Bombyx mori: one gene and its partners. The protein of the gene in region 3 binds, or shares a complex with, the protein of the main gene of each other region. Links are inferred from orthologs where the notes say so. Each region holds a gene or a part of one and is shown on either strand. Other genes may lie near its edges. The genes, in order: actin-related protein 2/3 complex subunit 2, actin related protein 2/3 complex subunit 4 and actin-related protein 3.

The links.
Region 1: actin-related protein 3 (region 3) and actin-related protein 2/3 complex subunit 2 share a complex: the UniProt entries of both Caenorhabditis elegans proteins name them as parts of the arp2/3 complex. The link is inferred for Bombyx mori from reciprocal best matches to the Caenorhabditis elegans genes arx-1 and arx-4.
Region 2: actin-related protein 3 (region 3) and actin related protein 2/3 complex subunit 4 share a complex: the UniProt entries of both Caenorhabditis elegans proteins name them as parts of the arp2/3 complex. The link is inferred for Bombyx mori from reciprocal best matches to the Caenorhabditis elegans genes arx-1 and arx-6.

What each region holds. Positions count from the first base shown.
Region 1 is NC_085109.1:10,839,301-10,843,549, reverse strand, and holds the start of actin-related protein 2/3 complex subunit 2, read right to left. Parts: upstream 2,832-4,249; 5' UTR 2,514-2,831; coding exon 2,440-2,513; intron 1,933-2,439; coding exon 1,839-1,932; intron 1,477-1,838; coding exon 1,377-1,476; intron 1-1,376. Other genes in the region: ubiA prenyltransferase domain-containing protein 1 homolog, read left to right, coding at 4,164-4,249. UniProt on the Caenorhabditis elegans protein: Functions as actin-binding component of the Arp2/3 complex which is involved in regulation of actin polymerization and together with an activating nucleation-promoting factor (NPF) mediates the formation of branched actin networks.
Region 2 is NC_085122.1:8,792,785-8,795,799, forward strand, and holds actin related protein 2/3 complex subunit 4, read right to left. Parts: upstream 1,439-3,015; 5' UTR 1,371-1,438; coding exon 864-1,370; 3' UTR 585-863; downstream 1-584. UniProt on the Caenorhabditis elegans protein: Functions as actin-binding component of the Arp2/3 complex which is involved in regulation of actin polymerization and together with an activating nucleation-promoting factor (NPF) mediates the formation of branched actin networks.
Region 3 is NC_085125.1:6,590,183-6,593,726, reverse strand, and holds actin-related protein 3, read left to right. Parts: upstream 1-1,255; 5' UTR 1,256-1,404; coding exon 1,405-2,661; 3' UTR 2,662-2,978; downstream 2,979-3,544. UniProt on the Caenorhabditis elegans protein: Functions as ATP-binding component of the Arp2/3 complex which is involved in regulation of actin polymerization and together with an activating nucleation-promoting factor (NPF) mediates the formation of branched actin networks.

The DNA of each region.
Region 1 (4,249 bases), on a different chromosome or scaffold from region 3:
CTATACAATAATACTATATTTGGCTCTTTTGGTTGACAAGGTTGCAGATAAAGGTCTAGATGACAAGAATAATACACGGCTCCATAATGTTAAGTAATTATTGGAGCCTATACATTACAACATAAATGCATACAGGAATTTGTACCGTGTACTTGAAGCCTAGAAATCTTGGTAGATCCCAGATATTTTTCAGTAGAAATAGGCATAACAGTTACCAATGTATGGAGACTCAAAACACCTTTTCAGTAATGTGATTCATTCAAATAAATACTTGTAAAAATGTTCTCCTATAAATTTAGATAAAATACATATTTCCTGTTTTTAATGTAATACAAATTAATTTACTTTAAATGCCAGCTAGGCCTTCAAAAACAACTAATGAGTACATATCAAATTAAGGAAAATAAGGTAGAATAAGTCCAAGTGATGTTATATAATCTAAATATAAATAAGGAATTCAGTACCTTTGTCATCTCTGGTTGTCAATCTGTTTTTTTTAATTGGCGATAGACTGAATAATTTACTTATTTATTACACTTCATGTAAAATTTACAATGGGAGACTTAATGCCTAAGGCATTCTCTACCAGACAACCAAAGGTAGTGCCGAGAAAATAGTGGTAGGTGCAACAAAATAATATTAACCTTATCAACATAATTTAGAAATTATCAATTGTTTTTCTCTAAATTTCAATAAACAAAGAAAATAAATATTTAAAAAAACAAAATAACACTGAGGTTTCAGTAATTTTAGTAAAATTTCAACCACAGCATAAACAAAACTGCTAATAGATTATCCAGTTGTGTATAAATATATATTAATAAACAATACTTCCAATACTTCTTCAGCATCAATCTGTAGTGGTAGAATCTTCAGCTAAATTCTTAATTAACTGTCCCCTTATTTAATCTCCCCCATTGAGAGTACTGGTGATATAAAAACCTCTACCCTTACAGGTTAGTATTGCTTTTCATCCCATTGCTGTTGCTATTATGCGTTTCTGTTTCATGGATAGGATACCCATTATTTTAATATAATTTAGATTTAGACTATACCTCAAGGCAGGGCACATCATTCATGTTGTGATAAGTTTGAACTCTTAGTAACTGATACCATCAGATAAACCATAATATCAACGTGTTTCCCGAACTTTATGACATGTCCTCCTTCAAACGAGGCTTGTGGGAGAATTAAGTAGTAGGCAGCAACTTGGCTCTGCCCCTGGCATTGCTGAAGTCCATGGGCAACGGTAACCACTCACCATTAGGTCGGCCGTAAGCTGGTTTGCCTACAAGGGCAATAAAAAATATATATATTCTCCACATCTCTTCCATTATAAGGAAAAAAACAAAATTTAAATATCTTTGTGTAATTACCTGACTCTGGTTCAGTAAGAAGGGGTCCATACACCCTCTTGAGGAGCTCATCTGCTCCATGTTCTTCTAATTGCTTGTAGAACTTCAAAGATATACTAACCTAAAATAATATTTTTGTAATTATGTACATTTTATGAGTCTAAGCTTGAAGGTCTGTTGATATTTAATTTTAAACATAATTCTATTTATTCTTCATAGAATTTTTTTTAGGTTTAGCAACATTTCCTCCAGGTGTTTTTCCAAATTTTTCAAATAACAAACCTATTTTCTCACCTCATTCAGCTACTGATTTTTACATTTTTAATTGCTAGATTTATGTTTTGTGTTTATATGTTTTATTGACATTTTTATTCAAACCAATAACAAAACAATTTTAAACATAAAACTACACATTACTAGTTAATATGACATCATTGTATTGAGTTTCTTTGATTTAACTATCACTTATCAAGTCATACATACCCTAACTTTGGTTTTGTCTCCATTGACATTGGATATATGGAATAATACTCCATCAAAATCAGCTACAGTAACATCTATTGACTCAGGCTTTAAGCTGAAAACAGAAGGGGATAAAAATAAACACTTATTTATTGAATAAATTAGTCATATCCTCTTAGTAGCGACATTTGGTATCAGTTTCGGTGCATTGTTTACGGGCAATATGGTCATTGGAATTCTAAGCCTTTATATGGGATATTTCCGCAGACAAAAATATGTGGCACTTATAAACAACCGATATGACTCATCCAAGTCGTGATAGGCACTAACGCGTCACTGTGACCGTGACACATTAGAATTTAATTCCAATAATACCTGTTCTCTGACACTAAGTGCACAATTCACTTGGTATTTGTACTCCAGCCGTCAACGTGGGACCACCCCCAGTGAATCTTGACACTTGTCAAGTCCTCCCCTGGAGGGGTTATGCCCAGGATACAATCTTTATAGGAGTCATCATCATAATGACTATTAAAATTTAAATAACTACCGTAAACAGTGTACTCGATAAATTGATTCTAATCACGAAAAAAACAGTAACTTTCTAGTGTAACGTACTCACCGCGCCAGTGCATTTTTATATTTAACCGTTAGTGTTTCTTCTATAATTCTATTATTGATCTCGAGTAAGATCATTATTCAACAATTTATAACCTACAGATATTTCATAAAATCAACGCCTAGAGCACCTTCATTTAATTTTTTTAAGTAAGAATTTTTACGATGACCGCCCGTGCGTATAGACAACCAAAAACGACAGAGAAAAGAAACGAAAAAATTTAATGAAATTCGACAAGCAACCATAGAGTGTAAATTGAATATATGAACGAGAGCTTAAAAAGTTCTTAGATTTTAGTGGAAACTAAAATGACAATTATCTACAAAATGAAGACAATATACATACATATAAACAATTTTTAATAAAAAATTCACGATGCAAGCGAAGCTTACATCAGCCTAAATTCTTAGGAATATAATGACATGTCATTGATTTTTTTGAACTCGTAAATTATTGCAGTCCTTTTGTTACTACTTTTTCCTATATTTTATTATTTTTTGATGAATTGTTTGAGAAAAATATTAAACATCATAAAAAAAAGTGTGCTTGTGTGGTAAAAACTTAACCTTTACGTCGGTTATGTCAAAAACCAGAATATGGGTCTTTTTTGTCTTAACTGAAAACTACGCCTAAAAGCAGAGTGAAGTTATCAAGATTCAGCAACATACTTTTTATCTCCTTTAGCCCCATTGAGTTTCTTGCTGGATCTTCTCAGTGTGTGGCACTTCTGATTTAGTGGTAGATTCAGCGAATTACTGCTGCTCGGGCAGCTGGTAACAAACTCCACTCTTCCTGGCTGAGTCCGTACTCACTCAGATCTTTTGGTGAAACTAAAAAGGTAACTGGCCGCAAGTAATCCTTCCTTCTTAAAAAAGAAGTCTATTGAACTCTCAAAAAGAATTATCATTATACTGAGAGGTTGTGGACAGCATTTCATTTCACCTGATTCCTTTCATTTCATTAAGATTTTACATCAAAGAGTATATTTTCCTTTAGCACCATTCGGCTTTTGGTAAAATGTTAATTATTCAAATTACTAATTTTTCCAAGCCCACTGAGTTTCTCGCCGGATCTTCTCAGTGGGTCGCGTTTCCGATCCGGTGGTAGATTCTGCGAAGCACTGCTCTTGCTAGGGTCAGTGCTAGCAACTCTCCGGTTGAGCCCCGCGAGCTCGCCTACAAACGTTAGGGCGAAGCTGAAATAGCCTCTCAAGACTATCAGCATAGGCAAGGTTAAAAAAAAATAAAAAATTATCCAAACACACTACTTGACTTGTATGAGTTATTTTCCCTTTGCCCATTCATTGAACGAATCAAAGAAAAAATATGTATTCTGGCCATATTCTACTGTATTCTACTTATTAACTCCATGATTCTGGCTGCTGTCTTGTCAACTATTTTTCGTTCTTTCGTATCTGTAGGTAGTTATCTCAAATATACTAAGTGTATAATCTATGGATAGGTATATTATCTATGGTCAATAGAACAGACAAGGCTGGGCTTAGATTCCCTTGCCTTTCCTAATAAGGAAAAGTTGTACCAAAAAAATAATCTATGGTCAGTAATACCGTTTGTTTTGGTTTGTTTTCTAACATCGTCACCTGGTGCTTCTTTATTTGGTTCATTTAATTTCTTAGGTTGCTTATTTTAGCAATACTTTGGATAGTGATTGTTGTGTCAGATTTATTTTTGTGACAATTATACCTAATTACAATTTGCTTTAAAAAAATGGAACAAAAAAGAAAAGAAGAAGATATTCCAGGTGAAGAAGGCAACTTATTAGAACAGCCAAAGGAAGATACGATAGCACCTCG
Region 2 (3,015 bases), on a different chromosome or scaffold from region 3:
TACAAATATCAAATTACAATAATTGTTTTTACCCATGAAAGCAGACAATCATGCTATCGACAAACAGTCTATGGTGGAATGTGGACATTGACAATTCAAGGAGCAAAATCAACATGCTGTCTTTGTCAAAAGGTATTACACTAAAGAACTTAAAGGGCTCCCAGTAGTATAATAATAGTCATAGATAGGACACTCAGCACATAGCACAATAGAATATGTCAACAAAGCCCCAATAATTATTAACATGTTGACTGCCATGTAAATCACCGGTGCCCTACGCGGCACACTGACGTAATAATGACGATTTTTCTCTTTGATCTACATATTAAAGTGCCGGAATATCTAGTAGAGTCTGGAAATGACTAATTCACAGGTACTAAGAATAAATCTATCTTTTAGAAGACCTAAAAGTCTAAAATATACATTAACAAACAAAAGAAGGCAAAGTTAGGTAATCCAGGCGTGTAGTAACAGAAATCAACGTAATTATTTCAGTGCGCCGCTTAGGGCACCAGTGACCTGCATTAAATTTTATATCTGTATGCAATGTATTTTCCCTGACCTCTATCTAAATAACGTAATATTTTTAATAGTTCAATTGTAGCCTGTAAGCACCTACCCATCTGTGCTTACCTGGAATAGGCCTTTAGGCTATCAAAGAATAAGTTCAGAAAAAATCTAGTTTCTTCTACAATTACATATTTAAATGTCATTTTTGTAATGATACAATTTATTTGTCTATGAAGGTTATATGAATTCCATCACTAATTAAAATTACATAGCCATCAAAGCAACAAATTTTTCACATGAATTCATACTCTATGTACAATAAAGATGTTTCATTCTATCACTGAAAGAAGTAGTTAAAATCTCTTCAAGAATTCTTCCGAACAAATTCTGGCTCTTGCATTGACAGCCAATTTCATTTCACTGATTTCTTTATCAATTTCTTCCATAAAGTATATTACAAAATCGACCAATTTATGCTTATACATCTGTTCGGTATGGAAGTTAGTAATCAAAAAGCTGATATGGTACCCATCAACTGGTTTCCTCCTTAATACAATGAAGTTTTCAGCTCTCATCATCATGAACCGCATAAATTTTTTACAAAGAATTTTCTCTATCTCATCCGCCTGCTTGATCATAATACTCACCCTAATTGAATTTATTGAAGACTCTATTAATACTTTTTCATTAGAATTTCTTGAAATAACAACAGGATTGAGTAAAAGTTCTTTGCTTGTTCTAACTTCGACCTCCGGCTTGGTGTATTTCTCGACAACTTGCGATGAAAAGTGTTCTAAGCACATAGCGGCAGTGAGCGTGTGACGCACCGCTGTTAGATACGGTTTTAAAGTTGCAGCCATTGTAGAAAATTAAACTTTCGCAAAGATCACGCCACACCTTAAGTTCCTTTCAATTTTTTAGTCATGAATTATCACCATTGATGACAGATTTGACATAAGCATCATTGTTTGATTCGTTCATTACATAGCCAAAGGTAAGGTAGGCCATACAGTCAAATCCAAGTGTGTTGTTGTGTGAAAATGTACTAAATAAAATTAAATGATTATTAAGGAATTGAATCTGAGGTAAGATAAGGTAAAATTGTAGGTATTGGATGAGAAATAATGAAATAACATCTCAGTAAAGTGGAGAGAATTTACTAAAATCTCTTAAATGCAGGGGGGTGCAACTCCCATACAAAGGAAAATAACATACAACTAGCGTCATCTTACTCCTGTGGCGACGTCATTTTTGTAACTTTTAGGCATTAATGATCTAATAAACTCACTAGATGGCATATATGAGTTCTGACTCAATAAAAAATGTAGCGTACTTTGAAGCAGTGCTTCCACTTTTAGGGAATTCTCCCTTTTTTAGGGAAAAATAGCTGATATTTTGGATGATAAAGACAATTTAAAAAATACCAGGATTTAGGATATTTCGGGGTAAAAAGCAAAGCCTATACTAGTAACTGTTGTGAATTTTAAAATAAACGATAATTAAAGTAAAACAATGAACATTTTATTTTATGGAGAGAGAATGACATTAAGTCGAGTTGACAAGTAAAAGAATAAAACAGAGTTGTGTATAAAAACTATAAAGGTTTGATTCAACAGTAACCTTCTAGTAAAGTAAATCATAGATTAAGCCACTGCTTTTTCTTAGGGATTCCCCAGAATCCCAATAAGTATAATCCGCCAAATTTTTATTTACCTATTTTCGTTGATGTCACCAGAACTTACTTGTATTGTAATATACAGGTACTTCATGTACCATGAAAGATTATCATGGTAATTTCATTTACGAAACCTTGTAATTGTCATTTCACTTTTGCTAGCAGTTCCTTCTTCAAAGACTGAGGTGGAAAGATTATTCAGTGTTCTCAAATTTAAAAACTGACAAAAGAAACAGGCTTTCTAATGAAACCCTGAACGGCTTGCTTCATAGAAAGTTCCCAACTTTGCCAGCAAACAATTGCTCAATTTTAGAACCGAACAGTGTTAGGTTGTGCAGCAAAAGAATATAAAAGCAATGCGTCGACTTCCTTGAAAATTCTAATCCTATAGATCTATGATCTTCTGGGGGCGTTTATATTATATATACCTACATTAAATAATATGCTGTGGTTTATTTTCTGTATTTTATTTACGCTTTCTATATAAAGGATTTATGAAAGTTGTCTAGGAAATTTTAGGGTAAATTCAAAAGAAACTAGGGTAAAATGTGTTAAAAAAAACGTAAGTGGAAACACTGCTTTGAAGTTTTCAAAATTCCAGGGCCGTAAAACAATCTCAAAAAAAAAAAAAGTTTTCAAAATGTCGTAACGATTTAATTTTTTAAATCGTTTTTTTTTGGTCTTGGTGTGAGTTATTTTACGTTGTAGTATTAATTTAGAGCAACTTTTAGCTTTATGAGAATATTAGACGATTAGACATTGAGAAACTCTGTTTTGAATTCTCTTTAGACATAACTTGGCTCCAATACTTTTTTCTTCGTTAGCGTTTC
Region 3 (3,544 bases):
AGACACATTGGTATGTTTTTTTTATTGCCCTTGTAGGCAGACGAGCATACGGCCCACCTAATGGTTAGTGGTTACCGTCGCTCATGGACTTCAGCAATGCCAGGGGCAGAGCCAAGCCGCTGCCAACCATTGCGTACTCTCCGCAAGCCTCGTTTGAAGAAGGACAAGTTATAGCGCTCGGGAAACACCGTGGAGGAGAACTCATTCGAAAGCCGGATGGGACGTGGCAAAAAAGATTTCTCGTTTTTTTTTATTGCTTAGAGGGTGGACGAGCTCACAGTCCACCTGGTGTTAAGTGGTTACGGGAGCCCATAGACATCTACAACGTAAATGCGTCACCCACCTTGAGATATAAGTTCTAAGGTCTCAAGTACCTATAGTTACAACGGCTGCCCTATCCTTCAAACCGAAACGCATTACTGCTTCACGGTAGAAATAGGCAGGGTGGTGGTACCTACCCGCGCGGACTCAAGAGGTCCTACCAACAGTAATTACGCAAATTATAATTTTGCGGGTTTGATTTTTATTACACGATGTTATTCCTTCACCGTGGAAGTCAATCGTGAACATTTGTTGAGTACGTATTTCATTCGAAAAATTGGTACCCCCGCCTGCGGGATTCGGTGATGGAATCATCTCAAACAATTCCTCAGATTATTAATTAATAACATTATTCTATTAGAAATTAGCAGTATTTTTTTGGTATATTTAATTTTATAATTAAGTACCATTTAAGTGTTTCTAGAATCATAGCTTATTGACAGTGCGTTTCCAGAAATTTCTTTTTCAATCCAATATCCGACTTTGAAATGAAATTCCCTCCGCAACTTTTCTTGAGCATTGTGACATATCTTTCTTCCAAGTAAGTTTATAGCGAATGCTACTACTAAAAACTAAATAATAACAATAAGAATGCATTAAATGAACTTCTTTTTGTTTTTAGGTATCTAACTCAAAAGTTTCAAGTCCTTATTAAATTAAATTAAAATGGTATCAGGCTTTTCAGACTAAACCTTGAATTGTGATTGTATAGAAACTCTTTTTTTATTAGTGAAAGTGTACAGGAGTGGCGGATTGAAACAAAATCACCGGACGTCGCTTGGTGCTTTGTCAGATTCTTCCATAATGTCCAAATAAATCTCAGTTTTTTTTGGATTTTACTAGGAGGTGATTTGAATAAAACATTTATTTGGGGAAGGATTGTTTAGGTTATGTTTCCTTAATCTATTCATTAAATAAAAAAATTGAGACGTCAATTTAGTCTGCTGACATTTCATGACTGTCATACATAAGGCAAAACTGACTAATTCGTAGATATTTGACTGATTTTGCCTATCTTACTTACCGCACCCTATTTATTATTTTATATCTATATAGTTGAATAATAAACTTTAAATAATAAAAATGGGAGACCATTTACCAGCTTGTGTTATCGATGTCGGCACCGGGTATACTAAACTGGGTTTTGCCGGTAACAAGGAACCACAGTTTATTATTCCATCAACCATAGCGATAAAAGAAACTGCAAAAGTTGGCGATCAGAGTACTCGGAGGATGACTAAGGCTGTCGAAGATTTGGATTTTTTCATCGGTGATGAAGCTTTTGAAGCCACAGGATACTCTGTAAAGTATCCTGTGCGCCACGGTATCGTAGAAGACTGGGATTTAATGGAAAGGTACATCGAACAGTGCGTGTTTAAGTATCTCCGTGCGGAACCCGAAGATCATCATTTCTTAATGACCGAGCCTCCGCTCAACACTCCAGAAAACAGAGAATATTTAGCCGAAATCATGTTTGAGTCATTTAATGTGCCAGGCCTTTACATTGCTGTACAAGCCGTTCTTGCTTTGGCTGCGTCATGGAAGTCACGTACGTCTGCTGAACGCACCTTCACTGGCATCGTAGTAGACAGCGGAGATGGCGTTACTCACATTGTTCCAGTTGCAGAAGGATATGTTATTGGATCATGTATAAAACACATCCCTATTGCTGGTAGAAACATTACTTCATTTATTCAATCATTACTCCGTGAAAGAGAGGTTGGAATCCCTCCTGAGCAAAGTTTGGAAACTGCCAAAGCTATTAAAGAAAAATACAGTTATATCTGTCCTGACATTGCTAAAGAATTTGCAAAATACGATAGCGATCCTGGTAAATGGATGAAAAAGTACACAGGGATCAATGCTATCACTAAAAACCCATTTACAGTCGATGTTGGCTACGAGCGATTCTTAGGACCTGAGATTTTCTTCCATCCTGAATTTTCAAATGCTGATTTCACTGTACCTTTGAATGAGATGGTTGATGAAGTGATTCAGTCATGCCCCATTGATGTTAGACGAGGATTGTATGGAAACATTGTGTTGTCTGGTGGCTCGACTATGTTCCGTGACTTTGGCAGAAGGTTACAACGTGATATCAAGAGGGCTGTTGATGCAAGATTGAAGCTTTCGACTATGTTATCTGAAGGTCGGATTACCCCTAAACCGATTGATGTACAAGTTGTGTCTCATAACATGCAGAGATATGCTGTGTGGTTCGGAGGCAGTATGCTTGCATCAACACCAGAGTTCTACCAAGTCTGCCATACTAAACAGGCATACATGGAGTATGGTCCTAGTATTTGCAGACACAACCCTGTTTTTGGTACCATGACATAAACAACCTTCCAGTATTAAATTACTAATGATGTCTACTTAGACTGTCGTATAAAATAATGAATTTGTAGAAGAAAATAATTATGTATAATATGAATATTGTTTTAATAATGACATAGATGCACACAATCCTCTCTTAAAACTTTTAATTTAGATTTATATTTTTATTATTATCAAACATGTCATAAATATATGGAATGTGTATTTTAATATATATACTTACAGAATATACTTTATGTAGCTGGATTTAAAATGTACAATATTAAGCATTTAACATTTGCATTCCAGCCTTTTATTGAAAAATAAATTCTTGTAAATTATATTATTAGTTTTATTAACCTTTATATGCATAAATTTGCAATTGCAAAAGTCGTACTTAACCTTTGGCAGTAATTTGGTGTGGTAATCGAAGTAAAATGTTTAATTTATAGACATAGGTAAACTAGTATCTTTGGAGGCTGAACATTTAAAATAAAAGTAAAGTATTGACAATTGTCCATAACGAGTCATTACCATAATTAAATTTGCAGGGATAAATTCCTCTTATACCAATTTTGATGCCACCATAGGCCCCATTATATTCCCTATGTTTGGCCAGTGCAGTGTCAAATCCCTAATTGTTAAAGATCACTAAACTTATGTATTTTCTTATAGAAAACATTATTAAATATTAGGATGTCTCTTATTTGAGAATGTATCTGATTATAGAAATCTTACGAAAACGAGGACTGCATAAATTAAGGATAGTTTTTGTTGCTGTAGATGGCTAGATGAACTCAAGCTGTTAAGGGATCAGTGTGCTTAGTGCGAGTTTTTTAACGATCTCGATAGCGTAAAAGTTAGCTCATATTTGTATGGAATGGGATCGTTTGCACACGTTTGCCGT